Stegostoma tigrinum: one gene and its partner. The protein of the gene in region 2 purifies or fractionates together with the protein of the main gene of each other region. This does not show direct contact. Links are inferred from orthologs where the notes say so. Each region holds a gene or a part of one and is shown on either strand. Other genes may lie near its edges.

Region 1 (8,008 bases), on a different chromosome or scaffold from region 2:
AATGGGCAGAGTTAGAGAATGAAGACAGTCAGCTGCGACAGTATTGCAACAGTCAATCTAGAGGTAACAAAGACACGGATGTGGGTTTTAGGAGTGTTTCTCTCGTGGGGGAATCCAGATACAGTGACCACAGATTTTAAATAATTCCTCCCTCATGACAGCTGTTGATCTTTTCCCCACCTCAAAAGAGCAATGGATACTGGATTATTAAAAATACTCAAGACTGTCTCTCATTGAGATTGCAAATGTGTGGCTTGATGGTCATCTCAGGTGTGAGACCAAGCTGGTAAACAATATTGTAAACAGCATCTCATATTCCACTTGGGAACCCTGCTGCCCAATGGTATCAATGTGAACTTCAGATGCTTCAAAATCTCCCCTCCACCTTCCATTTCCCAAAACCAGCCAAGCTTGTACCTGCCTCCCTAACCTGTCCTTCCTCCCACCTCAAGCCCCACCCCCATCTCCTACCTACTAGCCTCATCCTGCCCCTTTGACCTGTCTGTCCTCCTAGGACTGACCTATCCCCTCCTGATCTCCCCACCAACACTCACCTTCCCTGCCTCTTTGAACTGTCTGTCTCCTCTCCACCTATCTTTTCCTTTGTCCATCTTCCATCCACCTCGCCCCCTCTTCCTATTTATTTCAGAACCTTCAGCACTCCCATTTCTGAGAAAGGGTCTAGGCCCAAAACGTCAGCTTTCCTGCTCATCTGATGCTGCTTGGCCTGCTGTGTTCATCCAGCTCTGCACCTTATCATCTCAGATTCTCCAGTATCTGCAGTTCCTACAATCTCCAGTAAACAGTATGGTTCAGCCTCAAATACTGTCAGGGAGAGGGGTGGTTTTAGCAATCAGAGACAATTGTTTCAGTCTTCTCAATACCTAGATGGGAAATATTTCTGCACATATCCACAGTACTGAATATTAGAAGTAGTCTGACAATTTAGTGTCAACAGGAAGCTCAGAAGAACCGAGGATCTTGAAGTATTGTCCACAGATTCCTGAAAGTGGCCGGACAGATTAATGGGGTTGTTCAAGTTGCATTTGGGATGCTAGCCTTTGTCACTCAAGGTGTGGATTATAAGAACAGAGAGATTATGTTGGAGCTGTACAGAATTTTGATTACGTCACAGCTGGAGTACTGTGTGCAGTTTTGGTCACATTATAGGATGCGATTGCATTACAGATGGTGGAGAGGAAATTCACTAGAATGTTGTCTCGGATGGAGTATTTCAGCTATGAGGAGAAGCTGAATAAGCTTGGCTTGGTTTTCTTTGGAGCAGGGAAGTTCAGGAAGAACCGGTTTTGAGGTGTTTAACATTACAAGGTTCATGGATAGCGTGGACAGACAGCAACTGCACCCTTTACTGGAAGGGTCAAGAACGGGGAGCACATACACAGAGGTCGGAAGGGATTTGAAGATAATGTTTTTCACTCAGAGGGTGGTGGGGTCTGGAATGCACTGCCTGGGAGGGTATTTGAGGCAGATGAACTGACAATCTTTAACAAGTACTTGGATAAATAAATAAATACTTTAATTGTCATAACATTCAAGGCCATGGGCTTAGTGTGGTAAAGTGAGACTAGTGAAGGTAGAAGCACATTCTTTGGCAGCACAGACTTGATTGGCCAAAGGGACTCTTCTGTACTATATGATTTATGAAGGGTTTGAGAGAGAATGGTCAGGCAAAGTTAGGTGTCATAGGTTTACACATGACAAGTGACAATATTTTTGGATATCACCAAGGAGCAGTGTGTAAATGAGGACTAGGAAAGCTTCAAAGAGTAATGCCAGATATGACAGCACTGTCAGGCAGAGCAGATACAAGAAGTCAGCATACTCTTACATGGGAAAGTAAGGAAAAGGTAACGCATATAACTTTCCTAGCCGCAGAATTTAATGGATATGAATGAACCTGGCAAGCGTACTCTCACCCATTTGGATAACAATGGAGATGCACTGGAGAATAGTATGGTTAATCATGCTAAAGGTTACATAACAGCATAGAATGATAGATTAGTTACTTTTTGCCACCATTACTTGTCTGAGATTTTACCTTCATGAGGCTGAAACCTGATATGAAGGGACTCCAAAATGGGATTTTAGAAAGAGTTGAGAGGTGATACGTTTAAGAACTTTAGAGAGGGAAAAAGAAAGAAATTGAAGTGCTGGCTGTGTGTAAAGATGGAAGGGTTATTCATTTGAAGGGAAGGCTGATGACAGATTGCAACTAGAAGTAGCTAGTTTGTAATTAATGGTATAGAACTTTTACTGATGTTAGGTAACATGGAGGCAAGGATAACAACTTGATTATTGAGTATATATAATGCATTCCCCAAGCAACTTCCTGCAAACGTTTTGTAATCAAAATCTAGTGGCTTTATTACAACGCTACCGTGCATGTGACCGTAAAGTTAAATATACAAGGGAACATATTAAGTAAAGGAGGTAACGATCCCAAACCAGGGCACGAAAGGTGCACATGCGCAATTCTCTGCGCACCCCCCCCCCCGCCAACAATCAATCTCATCTCGAGCCAGGGGCCTCCTATCCCTTTCCCAGCGATATCCCTCAAAAATTAAAAATAACAATATTGACCTTCAGCAGCACGAAGAACTCAAACATTCTGCGGAAAGATGGGGGGAACACCCTGGCGTATGTCACGGCCATCTTAAAGAAGAGTGCGTGGAAGAGCCGGTCCCGGACATTGATGAGCGGGTTCGGGTTCAGGTTGTTGTTTCTCACCCGGTTCGGGTTGTTGGGCTGATTTTCCGACATTTTCCTGAACTCCAGCTAACGCGCGGGCTTCTTTTAAATTTCAAAATAGAAAGCTTTTGAGTTTTTGTCCGAACAACGTTATGTCAGAGAAATCATTCGTCGCGCAGCCGAGTCAATTTTCACAGTTTTTGCCCCTCCTCGGCCGTGTTCTGTACTCCGTCCAGCCCAGACCCACCGTTTCCCACTCCGCACCGCGTTCACAGCACCCATTCCGACTCCCAATCATTGCGCCCCCACCAGATGGGAGGACTTACTACCGGACCCCCCCGTTACAACTCCTCATCATACTGCCGTTGGCGGTTGGGAGGAGCTACTACACATCACGCGCATAGACACGACTCTGATAAACCCAAGAGATGACAAGATGCGCACCAAGCAGCATCAAAGCAGCAGGAAGGCTGACGTTTCGGGTCTGGACCCTTCTTCAAAAATGGGGGAGGGGAAAGGGGTTCTGAAATAAATAGGGTGATAATGGGGACTGCAGATGCTGGAGAATCCAAGATAATAAAGTGTGAAGCTGGATGAACACAGCAGACTTCCTGAGATAATGGGAACTGCAGATGCTGGAGAATCCAAGATAATAAAATGTGAGGCTGGATGAACACAGCAGGCCAAGCAGCATCTCAGGAGCACAAAAGCTGACGTTTCGGGCCTAGACCCTTCATCAGAGAGGGGGATGGGGAGAGGGAACTGGAATAAATAGGCAGAGAGGGGGAGGCGGACCGAAGATGGAGAGTAAAGAAGATAGGTGGAGAGGAGAGTATAGGTGGGGAGGTAGGGAGGAGATAGGTCAGTCCAGGGAAGACGGACAGGTCAAGGAGGTGGGATGAGGTTAGTAGGTAGCTGGTGGTGCGGCTTGGGGTGGGAGGAAGGGATGGGTGAGAGGAAGAGCCGGTTAGGGAGGCAGAGACAGGTTGGACTGGTTTTGGGATGCAGTCGGTGGGGGGGAAGAGCTGGGCTGGTTGTGTGGTGCAGTGGGGGGAGGGGACGAACTGGGCTGGTTTTGGGATGCGGTGGGGGAAGGGGAGATTTTGAAACTGGTGAAGTCCACATTGATACCATTAGGCTGCAGGGTTCCCAGGCGGAATATGAGTTGCTGTTCCTGCAACCTTCGGGTGGCATCATTGTGGCAGTGCAGGAGGCCCACGATGGACATATCATCTAGAGAATGGGAGGGGGAGTGGAAATGGTTTGCGACTGGGAGGTGCAGTTGTTTGTTGCGAACTGAGCGGAGGTGTTCTGCAAAGCGGTTCCCAAGCCTCCGCTTGGTTTCCCCAATGTAGAGGAAGCCGCACCGGGTACAGTGGATGCAGTATACCACATTGGCAGATGTGCAGGTGAACCTCTGCTTAATGTGGAATGTCATCTTGGGGCCTGGGATAGGGGTGAGGGAGGAGGTGTGGGGACAAGTGTAGCATTTCCTGCGGTTGCAGGGGAAGGTGCCGGGTGTGGTGGGGTTGGAGGGCAGTGTGGAGCGAACAAGGGAGTCACGGAGAGAGTGGTCTCTCCGGAAAGCAGACAGGGGAGGGGATGGAAAAATGTCTTGGGTGGTGGGGTCGGATTGTAAATGGCGGAAGTGTCGGAGGATGATGCTTTGTATCCGGAGGTTGGTACGGTGGTGTGTAAGAACGAGGGGGATCCTCTTAGGGCGGTTGAGGCGGGGGCGGGGTGTGAGGGATGTGTTGCGGGAAATACGGGAGACGCGGTCAAGGGCGTTCTCGATCACCGTGCGGTCCTTAAAGAGCTTATCAAGAACTCCCTTGACCGCGTCTCCCGTATTTCCCGCAACACATCCCTCACACCCCGCCCCCGCCTCAACCGCTCTAAGAGGATCCCCCTCGTTCTCACACACCACCCTACCAACCTCCGGATACAACGCATCATCCTCCGACACTTCCGCCATTTACAATCCGACCCCACCACCCAAGACATTTTTCCATCCCCTCCCCTGTCTGCTTTCCGGAGAGACCACTCTCTCCGTGACTCCCTTGTTCGCTCCACACTGCCCTCCAACCCCACCACACCCGGCACCTTCCCCTGCAACCGCAGGAAATGCTACACTTGTCCCCACACCTCCTCCCTCACCCCTATCCCAGGCCCCAAGATGACATTCCACATTAAGCAGAGGTTCACCTGCACATCTGCCAATGTGGTATACTGCATCCACTGTACCCGGTGTGGCTTCCTCTACATTGGGGAAACCAAGCGGAGGCTTGGGGACCGCTTTGCAGAACACCTCCGCTCAGTTCGCAACAAACAACTGCACCTCCCAGTTGCAAACCATTTCCACTCCCCCTCCCATTCTCTAGATGACATGTCCATCATGGGCCTCCTGCACTGCCACAATGATGCCACCCGAAGGTTGCAGGAACAGCAACTCATATTCAGCCTGGGTACCCTGCAGCCATATGGTATCAATGTGGACTTCACCAGTTTCAAAATCTCCCCTTCCCCTACTGCATCCCTAAACCAGCCTAGTTCGTCCCCTCCCCCCACTGCACCACACAACCAGCCCAGCTCTTCCCCCCCACCCACTGCATCCCAAAACCAGTCCAACCTGTCTCTGCCTCCCTAACCGGCTCTTCCTCTCACCCATCCCTTCCTCCCACCCCAAGCCGCACCCCCAGCTACCTACTAACCTCATCCCACCTCCTTGACCTGTCCGTCTTCCCTGGACTGACCTATCCCCTCCCTACCTCCCCACCTATACTCTCTCCATCTATCTTCTTTACTCTCCATCTTCGGTCCGCCTCCCCCCTCTCCCTATTTATTCCAGTTCCCTCTCCCCATCCCCCTCTCTGATGAAGGGTCTAGGCCCGAAACGTCAGACTTCCTGAGATGCTGCTTGGCCTGCTGTGTTCATCCAGCTTCACACTTTATTATCTAGGGTGAGAGGGGGAGGCGGATAGAAGATGGATAAAGGAGCAAATAGGTGGAGAGAAGACAAACAGGTCAAAAAGGCGGGGGTGGAGCCAGAAAAGGTGAGTGTATGTGGGGAGTTAGGGAGGGGATAAGTCAGTCCAGGGAGGACGGAAACGTCAAGGGGGCGGGATGAGGTTAGTAGGTAGGAGGTGGGGGTGGAGCCTGAGGTGGGAGGAAGGACAGGTTAAGCAGGCTGGGACGAGCTGGTTTGGTTTTGGGATGCAGTGGGTGGAGAGGAGATTTTGAAGCTTGTGAAGTCCACATTGGTACCATTAGGCTGCAGAGTTCCCAAGTGGAATATGAGTTGCTGTTACTGCAACCTTCGGGTGGCATCGTTGTGGCACTGCAAGAGGCCCAGGATGGACATGTCATCTGAGTAATGGGAGGGGGAGTTGAAATGGTTTGCAACTGTAGAGGAGGTCTCCTCTACATCAGGGAAACCAAGCGAAGGCTTGGGGACCGCTTTGTGGAACACCTACGCTTAGTTTGCCCTAAACAACTACACCTCGCAGTCGCAAACCATTTCAACTCCCCCTCCCTCTCCTCAGATGACAAGTCCATCCTGGGCCTCCTGTAGTGCCACAACGATGCCACCTGAAAGTTGCAGGAACAGCAACTCATATTTCGCTTGGGAACCCTGCAGCCCAATGGTATCGATGTGGACTTCACAAGCTTCAAAATCTCCCCTCCCATCCACCGCATCCCAAAACCAGCCCAACTTGTCCCTGCCTCCCTAACCTGTCCTTCCTCCCAACTCAAGCTCCACCCTCATCTCCTACCTACTAGCCTCATCATGCACCCTCGACCTGTCCATCCTCCCTGGACTGATCTATCCCCTCCCTAACTCCCCACCTACACCCACCTTTACTGGCTCAATCCCTGCCTTTTTGACCTGTCTGTCTCCTCTCCACCTATCTTCTCCTTTATCCATCTTCCATCCGCCTCCCCCTCTCTCCCTATTTATTTAAGAACCCCCTTCCCCTCCCCCATTTCTGAAGAAGGGTCTAGGCCCAAAACGTCAGCTTTCCTGCTCTAATACTGCTTGGCCTGCTGTGTTCATCCACCTCTACACCTTGTTAGTTCAGATTCTCCAGCATCTGCAATTCCTATTATCTCTATTGTTAAACCCCAATGATAGCATCCTTGCGAGCTTGGTGGACTTACAACACCATCCACACATACCGAGAGAGTTGCAGCTCCAAATCAACCACGCCGGTTTGCAGGTATTACTACGCTTCCCCTCCCGCGTGCACACACAACTTCACGTTCCAAAACCCAACCACAGCGAACACAGGAAAACATTATTCAACTCTCAACCAAGGTGCCATCTCCGGCTGGGATGGGTGACTGCATCCACATGCAGGGAAGCAGTGCCTTCCCTGCAGCAACAATCTGATGTCCATAAACTGCGCCTCCACCAAGCAGGGTTGAGTTCTCGCATCTGTGGGAGACACTGCACTCCATATAGAGTCATGTCCAGGAACTTGTGTAGGATTTGCTGAAATATGCACAAGATCACAAGAATATTGTAAGGTGTTTCAGAAAATCATTCTGAAAGTACTTTCTACTAACAATATAATCAACACTGTTTTAAATGTTTACATTTATAGAAAATATTAGTATGTCAGCATGTGTAAATTCATAATTTGAAATGAAGAACACAGTGTAGGAATCATGAAATATTTTTTCTGTCTGCCAGATTTTAGGAATTTGAACAGTAATTTCAGTCATCATCAAACCTAGATCAGGCAAATTAAGACTCATTGTAGTTGTCTTGGGTGATGGTTCTGAAACCATCTGTTGGATACAATATTGAGCTCACCCAATCTGATAATAAGTATTTTGGTGAGGGGATATCAGCCTACTGGCAGTAATTTTCAGACCCTCTCTGGCCACTGGTTAATTGTTTGAGGACTGGAGAACTGTTCACCGTATTTTTTTAAATGGAGAGAAGATATAAGTGAGGAAATTACAGACCAGTCAATCTAACCTTGGTGGCAGTTCTGAAGTACAGAATATATCTGCACTTGGAGATACTTAAAGATTAATCAGGGTTAGAGAGCGTGGATTTGTTAAGGGAAATTTGTGTTTGACAAAGTTGATCAAATTTTTGGAGGAGGTGACCAGGAACGTTGATGAGGGTAATGCTATATACATGGACTTCAGCGAGGCTTTTGATAACGTCTCTCATGATCAACTGGGCAAGAAAGTAAGACCCATGGGGTAATAAGGCATAGTGGCATATTGGATCTAAAATTTGCTGAGAGGCAGAAGGCAGAGGGTGATGGTACTAATCAGACTACTG
Region 2 (7,612 bases):
ACCAGCCTGTTTCACGTTGGCCTCCTCTACAACTAGGTCCCTCTCAGTTATGAATCCTGAAGAAAAGTATTAATTAAGGACCTCTCGTATCGCTTTAGGCTCCGTGCACAAATTCCCTTTACAATCCTTGATTGGCCCTGCCCTTTCTCTGATCATTCTCTTATTCCTCACTAATGTGTAAAAAGCCTTGGAGTTTTCCTTGATCCTATCTGTTAAGGTTTTCTCATGCCCCCTTATTGCTCTCCTACACCCTTTCTTCAGATCCTTTCTGGCTAACTTGTATCCCTCTGGAGTCTTTTCCAAGCCTTGTTTCCTAAACCTTATATAAGCATCCTAGTCATTCAACCTCTCTTAAGAACCAAGGCTGCCTCACTCAACCGCATCTTCCTTGCCTGCTCGGGACAAACATATTGAGCACACGCAGTATGCATTCCTTAAACAATCTCCGCATTTCAGAGAGCTCTTCCCTGACATCATCTGTTCCCATTTTTTTTACCCAGTTCTCGCCTAACAGAATTGTAATTACCCTTCCCCCAATTATAAACCTTACTCTGCTGTACATACCTATCCTTTTCCGTGACTATTGTAAAAGTAACAGTGATGATTGCTAACGCCAAAATGCTCTTCGACCAACAGGTCTAACAGTTGGCCTGGTTCATTGCCAAGCACCAAATCGAAAATCACCTTTCCTCATGTTGGTCTATTACATACTGTGTCAGTAATCCTTTCTGAATGCACTGGACAAAATCTAAACTACTACAACTAGATTGTTTCCAATCAATATTTGGAAAGTTGAAGTCACCCAGACTACAACCCTGTGAGTTCTGCACCTTTTCAGTATCTGCCTCCCAATCTGCTCCTCCACTTCTCTGCAACTATTAGGGGGTCTGTAAAAAAACTCCCAACAAGTTGCCTGTAATAGGGTGATAGTGAGCAGCATTCTTGGACTGCTCCAGTTTGTGTGTTGTCAGGGCACACACGACCTGTTTGAGAGGAGGGTTACAGGATTTTGACCCAGCAATAGCGTAGGGATAGGGATTTCTTTCCAATCCACCATCCAAGTCAGGATGGTGAGTCACTCAGAGGGGATCTTTTCTTGCCTTGTCCTCCTTGGTGGTCGCTGCCATCGGTTTGTAAGGTTTAAAAAGCCTGGATGAGTTGTCTAGGTGCATCTTGTAGATGCTACACAGTACCGCTGCTGCAAATCACACAGTATCCTTAGTTGGAACTTACTCATCATCCTTTGCTGTTATTGGGACAAAATCCTGGAATTGTCTTCCTTACAGCACTGTGGGTGTATCTACAACACAATGCAATGGTTCAAGAAAGCAGCTCACCATCACCTTCTACAGGACAATCAGGGACACTCGAGACAGCAATGCCCACATTGTTTGCAAAGAACAAACGTAAGGACTGATGTATTGTTCATAGTAACATCTCTACCAGTCAACACACTGCTTCTTACAGGAGAAATGTCATGTTCCCCTGGTTACAGAGTCAAAGATGTACAACACAGAAATAGACCCTTCAGTCCAATTCATCTATGCTGCCGAGATATGCTGAATTAATCTAGTCCCATTTGCCAGCATTTGGCCCATATCCCTCTAAACCCCTCCTAGTCATGTTCCCATCCAGATGTCTTTTAATTTTTGTAACAGTAGCAACCTCCTACACTTCCTCTGGCAGCTGATTCCATACATGCACTGCGCAAAAAAGTTGCCTCTTAGGTTCCCTTTAAATCTTTCCCCTCTCACCGTAAACCTATACCTTCTAGTTTTTGACTCCACTATGCTGGGGAAAAGGCCTTGACTATTCACCCTATCCATGCCCCTCATGATCTTTATAAACCTCTATAAGGTCACCTCTCAGCCTTTTCCTCCAGCTCAAACCTACCAACTGTGGCAACATCCTTAAAAATGTTTTCTGAACCCAAGTTTCACAACATCTTTCCTTTATCAGAGAGACCAGGATCAAACACAGCATTCCAACAGTAGCCTAACCAATGTCCTGTACCACCACAACATGACCTCCCAACTCTTTTGCTCAATGCACTGACCAATAAAGACAGGCATACGAAAGGTCTTCTTCACTGACCTGTCTACCAGTGACTTTCAAGGAACTACAAACCTGCATATCAAGGTGTCTGTTTGACAACACTCCCCTACACCTTACTTTTAAGTGTATTATTCTTGCCTGATTTCCTTACCAAAGTATAGCATCTCACATTTATCTAATAAACTCCATCTGTCACTCCTCAGACCATCTGACCAAGGTCCTGTTGGACTCCAAGGTAACCTTATTTGCTATCCTTGGCAACAATTTTAGTGTGATCTACAAAGTTATTAACCATACCTCCTATATTCATATCCAAATAGCTTCTACAAATAACAAAACAAAAAAAAAAATCAGACCCAGCACCAATCCCTGCAGGAAACTGCTGGTCACAGGCCTCCAATCCAAAAAGCAACCCTCCACAACATCCTAGTTCCTACCTTCTAGCCAATTTTGTATCCAAATGGCTGGTTCTCCCTGTATTCCGTATGAACTAACCCTGTTAGGCAGTCTTTCATGCAGAACCTTGTTGAATGCCTTACTGAGCATGCAGACGTTGACTGCTGTGCCTTCAATCCTCTTCATCACGTCTTCAAACAACTTAATCAAGTTAGTGGGACATGATTTCCCATACACAAAGACATGTTGACTATTCCTAGATCAGCACTTGCATTTCCAAATAAACATAAATCCTGTCCCTCAGACCCTCCTCCAACAACTTGCCCACCAGTCTAAGTTTTTTGGCTTTACCTTTCTACATTTCTTAAATAACAGCATCACGTTGACCAACCTCTAGTCTTCCAGCACCTCACCCATGGCTATTGATGATGCCAAAATATTTGGCAAGGGGTCCAGAAATCACTTCCTTAGCTTCTCACAAAGTTCTAGGGTACACTTGATCTGCTCCCAGGGATTTATCCACCTTTTTGTGTTTTAAGACTTCAGCACCACCGCCATTGTAATATACGGATAACACAGGGTGGAGCTGGAGGAACACAGCAGGCCAGGCAGCATCTGAGGACCAGGAAAGCTGACGTTTCGGGTCAGGACCTTTGTTCAGAATCCTGACCCAAAACTGGCCTGCTGTGTTCCTCCAGCTCCACCCTGTGTTATCTCTGACCCCGGCACTGGCAGTTCTTACTGTCTCCATTGTAAGAGATGCTTCAAGATATCACTATTTATTTACTCCAATTCCATATCTTTCTGCACGGTAAACACTTCCCTTGCCTGCATCAGGATAATTTTGCAAATGAAAATTTTCAAAGCGTGTTAATATTTAGTTAATCATTGCTGTATCTTCTCAAAGTTTTTAATCATCCTTCCCCAAGTGCAGTTTGACAAGATATTTGAATTGTGATGGACAAGTACTTTACAAAAGTTCATATTTGTTTTGCTTCTGTACGTGATACTTCTATTTGTGAAGCCTACGATCCTGATTGCTTTTACAATACTTTCTTAACGTGCCTTGTTGCTTTTAATTTGCCCCATGTTCCTGTACCTCTCTAGAATTCTACAAATACATATTGCATTTCTCCATTTCTCAAGCATGAATTATCCATGCTTCTCTTCATAACCCCTCCATCAACTTGTGTCCTATTAAAATCTTGCAGTATCTTCTTCAGATTTTACTATATTTCCAGATTTTGTCATCTGTAAATTTATGTGTGCTCAGCTCAGCATATATCAAAAAAAAAGGGTTCCTAATAACCCTACAACACATCTTTCTCCAGTTTGAAAATGTAGTTCGCTGTCACTCAGGTAATTTTGTCTCAAAGGTGCTGTGGGCCCTTTTGTCCTATGGGCAACAAATTTTATCAATATCTTTCAAAAGTCCGTTTTCCATCAGGTGAATCAAATGTGACTTGGCATTCACATATTAATCCATACTTATCCTGGTGACTGTTTGTTTTATCTTGGAAGGAATACTGATGGGAGAAGAGAAAAGAGTAGAAGCCAGATCGAGAAAAGAGAAAGAAATGAAGATAAGGGAGAACAGAACATGAACCTGAAAGGGGAGTGAGTAGGTGGGTGGGGAAAGGGGAAGGACATGAGCATGTGAGGGAGTGGATAATAAGAAGCTGAGAGAAAATGGATGATTGGCCAGGGAAGAGAGCAGTTACTTAAGTTCATTCTGCAAAGAAATAAAAGAGGAAAGTGACAGAGTTAGACACGGCTCCATCTGAAGGACTGAGACAAGTACACAAGGAGGGGCGGGACAGTGTCATTCCATTACAAATGCAAATCCTGGGCTTGCCTCTAGAACAAAAATCTTTTAATACTGGTTAATCTAGTGTTTTATCATCAAGAAACATACCAATGATGTGCAAAGAAAATTTATTCAGTGAATACAAAAAAGGGAAAAATTGAACTTCTGTACAACTAAAAAAACAATAAAACTTGGACATTAATTGAGCCAAATGGGCCTGGTTTCAGCATTAGTGTAGTTTGCTGATAAGATGTTCCTCCTGCTCCAAAAATGCCAGTGCCTAGTCACGTTAGTGGATCACGGCCTGGTTGCCAGATTTTGTCCAAAATACTGGCCCAATGACAGCAAACCATCCAACATGGTCAACATTCATACTTGACTGCTGCCAAGTTCCACTTGTTCAGTTTGGCTTGTGAACTGATATACAGATTCTATTGGCCTAATGTGACTTAAAGCTATTAACCCCTAGCTTATCCGTCCCCATGTCCCCCAAACTAACAGGATATGCCAGACAAGAGTGCTCAGTACTGTTCCCCACAAAGTGCAAAATGACTTTAACAAACATGTTTGGTGAAACAAAGTTACTGAAATTTGTTTCAGAAATCTGGTAACATCATGCCAATATTAACAAAATTTAGGATCCAATGAAACATGTGCAACTTGCATTGGTTTGTAGGGCTATATCTGAATCAAATGTTTGTGTAGAATTTAGATGCATTGAGTAAAAATTCTGTTGAATATCCACTTCCAAATGCTGCATTGCAGACAGGTATACAACAATGGCATAATTTTTTTTAGCTTAAAGTAACTTTTGTTTTGGCATGTGTAACCTAAAATGACTGGCTGCATTTCTTCCAGAATAGGTGCCAATTCTCCAAAATTAATACTATTTGCCAGATGATTTTATCAGATCCCTTTCATGCATTCTTCTGATAACGTGGGAAGTCTTGAATTATTATTCAGGTTGCCCTTCCTCTTTTGGGGGCTCGAACTGTGCAAGCTGTGAACAACAGATTGAAATACTTTAGCTCTCATTAAAATGAATTTCAGAGATTTCCACATCAAAAACGTGTCACTAACTATATCTGAAAATTCTGCATTGCTCTGATTGAAACAGTTATCATTTTGCGGTTCAAGAAAACTTAGAATATAAAGTTGTTCTACAAAATGCACAAACCAGAACATGATTTTAAAAATAAAGAGTTCAACATAGAATCTGCAGTATAGAATGTGAACAGAATTTTTTCAAACATTCTGCCGTGATCACAGGGTCTTAATGGTTTCAAGCACACTAACAGCCCCTAAAAAGCAAACAAAAATACCCGCAAGAATTTGATCCCTGAAATAACATCCCTTTAAAATTTAATTCACACTGTCGAGTTGACTTGCCTGGTTGGCAGAGGAAATTAGACTGGAATCAGTTGACACTGGAGCTAGCCATATTGTGGAGCAATGGTTTATAAAAAAAACCTTTTAATGGGATAAATGGAACAGGGAACTGAAGTCACCAGACTAGGCAAAAAATTAAAACTCCTCCTGAAACTTACAATGAATTTGAATTGAAGAAATGCAGGTAATCAGGCTTCCCAAAAATCAGTAATACATTTTAGACGCAGGTGTGTCACCTTCCCATTGCTTTGCCATTACAGCAACAGAATCACACCAACTTTTTGTTACTTGAAAATAACTTCTAGAGTTTTAACAGTGCTAAGCTTTGTGATAAACCTAATAAGATTACCATGACAGAGCAAGAACATTAGATGGACAGACTTCAATAGAAAGCAGGTTGTTCAGCTGTTGTGCCTACAGCAGTTCCTTACTGGAATAGCCCTAAACTAATACCACTATTCCATTTTATCCTTATAACCTTTTTATCAGTTCCAAACTCAGTCACAACCCAAGAGGTGAGTTTGTGCATGGTTGTTCGGTTAGGCGTTGGAGACACAGGCTAGAAGCAACTTGGTTTAGAAATTGACGTTAAAAAGGAAGAGGAGTTGTGTGTCTTAGAAAGTCTTAAGGGTAGATAAATCCCTGGGTCTTGATGGGATTTATCCTAGAATATTGAGGGGAAACAAGAGAACAAATTGCTGGAGCATTGACAGACATCAGGACGGCATGGTGGCTCAGTGGTTAACAGTGCAGCCTCACAGCACCAGGGACACGGGTTTGATTCCAACCTCGGGCGACTGTCTGTGTGGAGTTTGCACATTCTCCCCTTGTCTGCGTGGGTTTCCTCCCACAGTCCAAAGATGTGCAGGCTAGGTGAATCAGCTATGCTAAATTGCCCGTAGTGTTCAGGGGTGTGTGGGTTATAGGGGGATGGGTCTGGGTGGGATGCCTCAAGGGGCAGTGTGGACTTGTTGGGCCGAAGGGCCTGTTTAAACACTGCAGGGAATCTATTCTTTATGTCCTCTTTGGTCACGCCTGAGGTCCCAGAGGGCTGGAGAATAGCTAACATAGTCCTATTGTTTAAAAAGGGTGGCAGGGATAATCCGGGCAATTCCAGGTCTGTGAGCCTCTTGTCAGTGGTAGGAAAGTTACTGGAAAAGATTCTTAGGAACAAGATCTATAAACATTTAGAAGTAAATTAACTGATTAGCAATTAACACATGGTTTAAGTGTGTGGTGGTCATGCCTCACTGACTTGATCAAATTTTTCAAGGGGGTGATGAAGATGATTGATGAAGGAAAAGCAGTTGATGTTGTCTACATGGACTCCAGTAAAACCATTGTCCACGTCCCTCATGACAGACTAGTACAAAAGGTGAAGTCACGTGGTGTCAGGTGCGAGCTGGCTTAGGCATAGGAGACAGAGGGTAGAGGTGGAAGGATAGTTTTTGGAATGGAGGAATGTCATGAGCGGTGTTCCGCAGGGATCAGTGCTGGATCTCACCTGTTTGTGATCTACATAAGTGATTTGGAGAGAAAAGTAGCTGGTCTAATTAGTAAGTCTGTGGACGTTACAAAGACTGGGGGAGTTGCAGATAGCGAGGAGGATTGTCAGAGGATATAACATGATACAAATCAGTTGGAGACATGGGCAGAAAAATAGCAGATGGAGTTTAAGCCAGACAAATATGTGAGGTGATGCATTTTGGAAGGTCACGTACAGGTGGAAGTTATAGAGTGAAAGGTAGAACCTTTCGGAATATTGATATGCAGAGAGATCTGGGTGTGCAGGTCCACAGATCACTGAAGATGGCAGCGCAGGTAGGCAAGGAGTAAAAAAGGCCTATGGCCTGCTTGCCTTCATTGGAAAGGGCACTGAGTACAAGAACAGACAAGTTATGCTGCAGCTTTATAGAACTTTAGTTAGGCCACACTTGGAATATTGCGTACAGGTCTGGTCACCAC

Evidence for each region. Proteins that work in one complex are often made in the same cells at the same time.
Region 1: the proteins of E3 ubiquitin-protein ligase RNF185 (region 2) and tmem259 purify together in Homo sapiens (affinity purification with mass spectrometry; 3 studies listed by BioGRID and IntAct, counting the BioPlex papers as one, with this or other methods). This does not show direct contact. The link is inferred for Stegostoma tigrinum from reciprocal best matches to the Homo sapiens genes RNF185 and TMEM259.

The regions. Positions count from the first base shown.
Region 1 is NC_081383.1:28,749,851-28,757,858, forward strand, and holds the start of tmem259 (membralin), read right to left. Parts: upstream 3,008-8,008; 5' UTR 2,782-3,007; coding exon 2,602-2,781; intron 1-2,601. UniProt on the Homo sapiens protein: May have a role in the ERAD pathway required for clearance of misfolded proteins in the endoplasmic reticulum (ER). Promotes survival of motor neurons, probably by protecting against ER stress.
Region 2 is NC_081379.1:51,227,356-51,234,967, forward strand, and holds the start of E3 ubiquitin-protein ligase RNF185, read right to left. Parts: upstream 3,004-7,612; 5' UTR 1-3,003. Other genes in the region: c-Myc-binding protein, read right to left, coding at 5,214-5,258. UniProt on the Homo sapiens protein: E3 ubiquitin-protein ligase that regulates selective mitochondrial autophagy by mediating 'Lys-63'-linked polyubiquitination of BNIP1.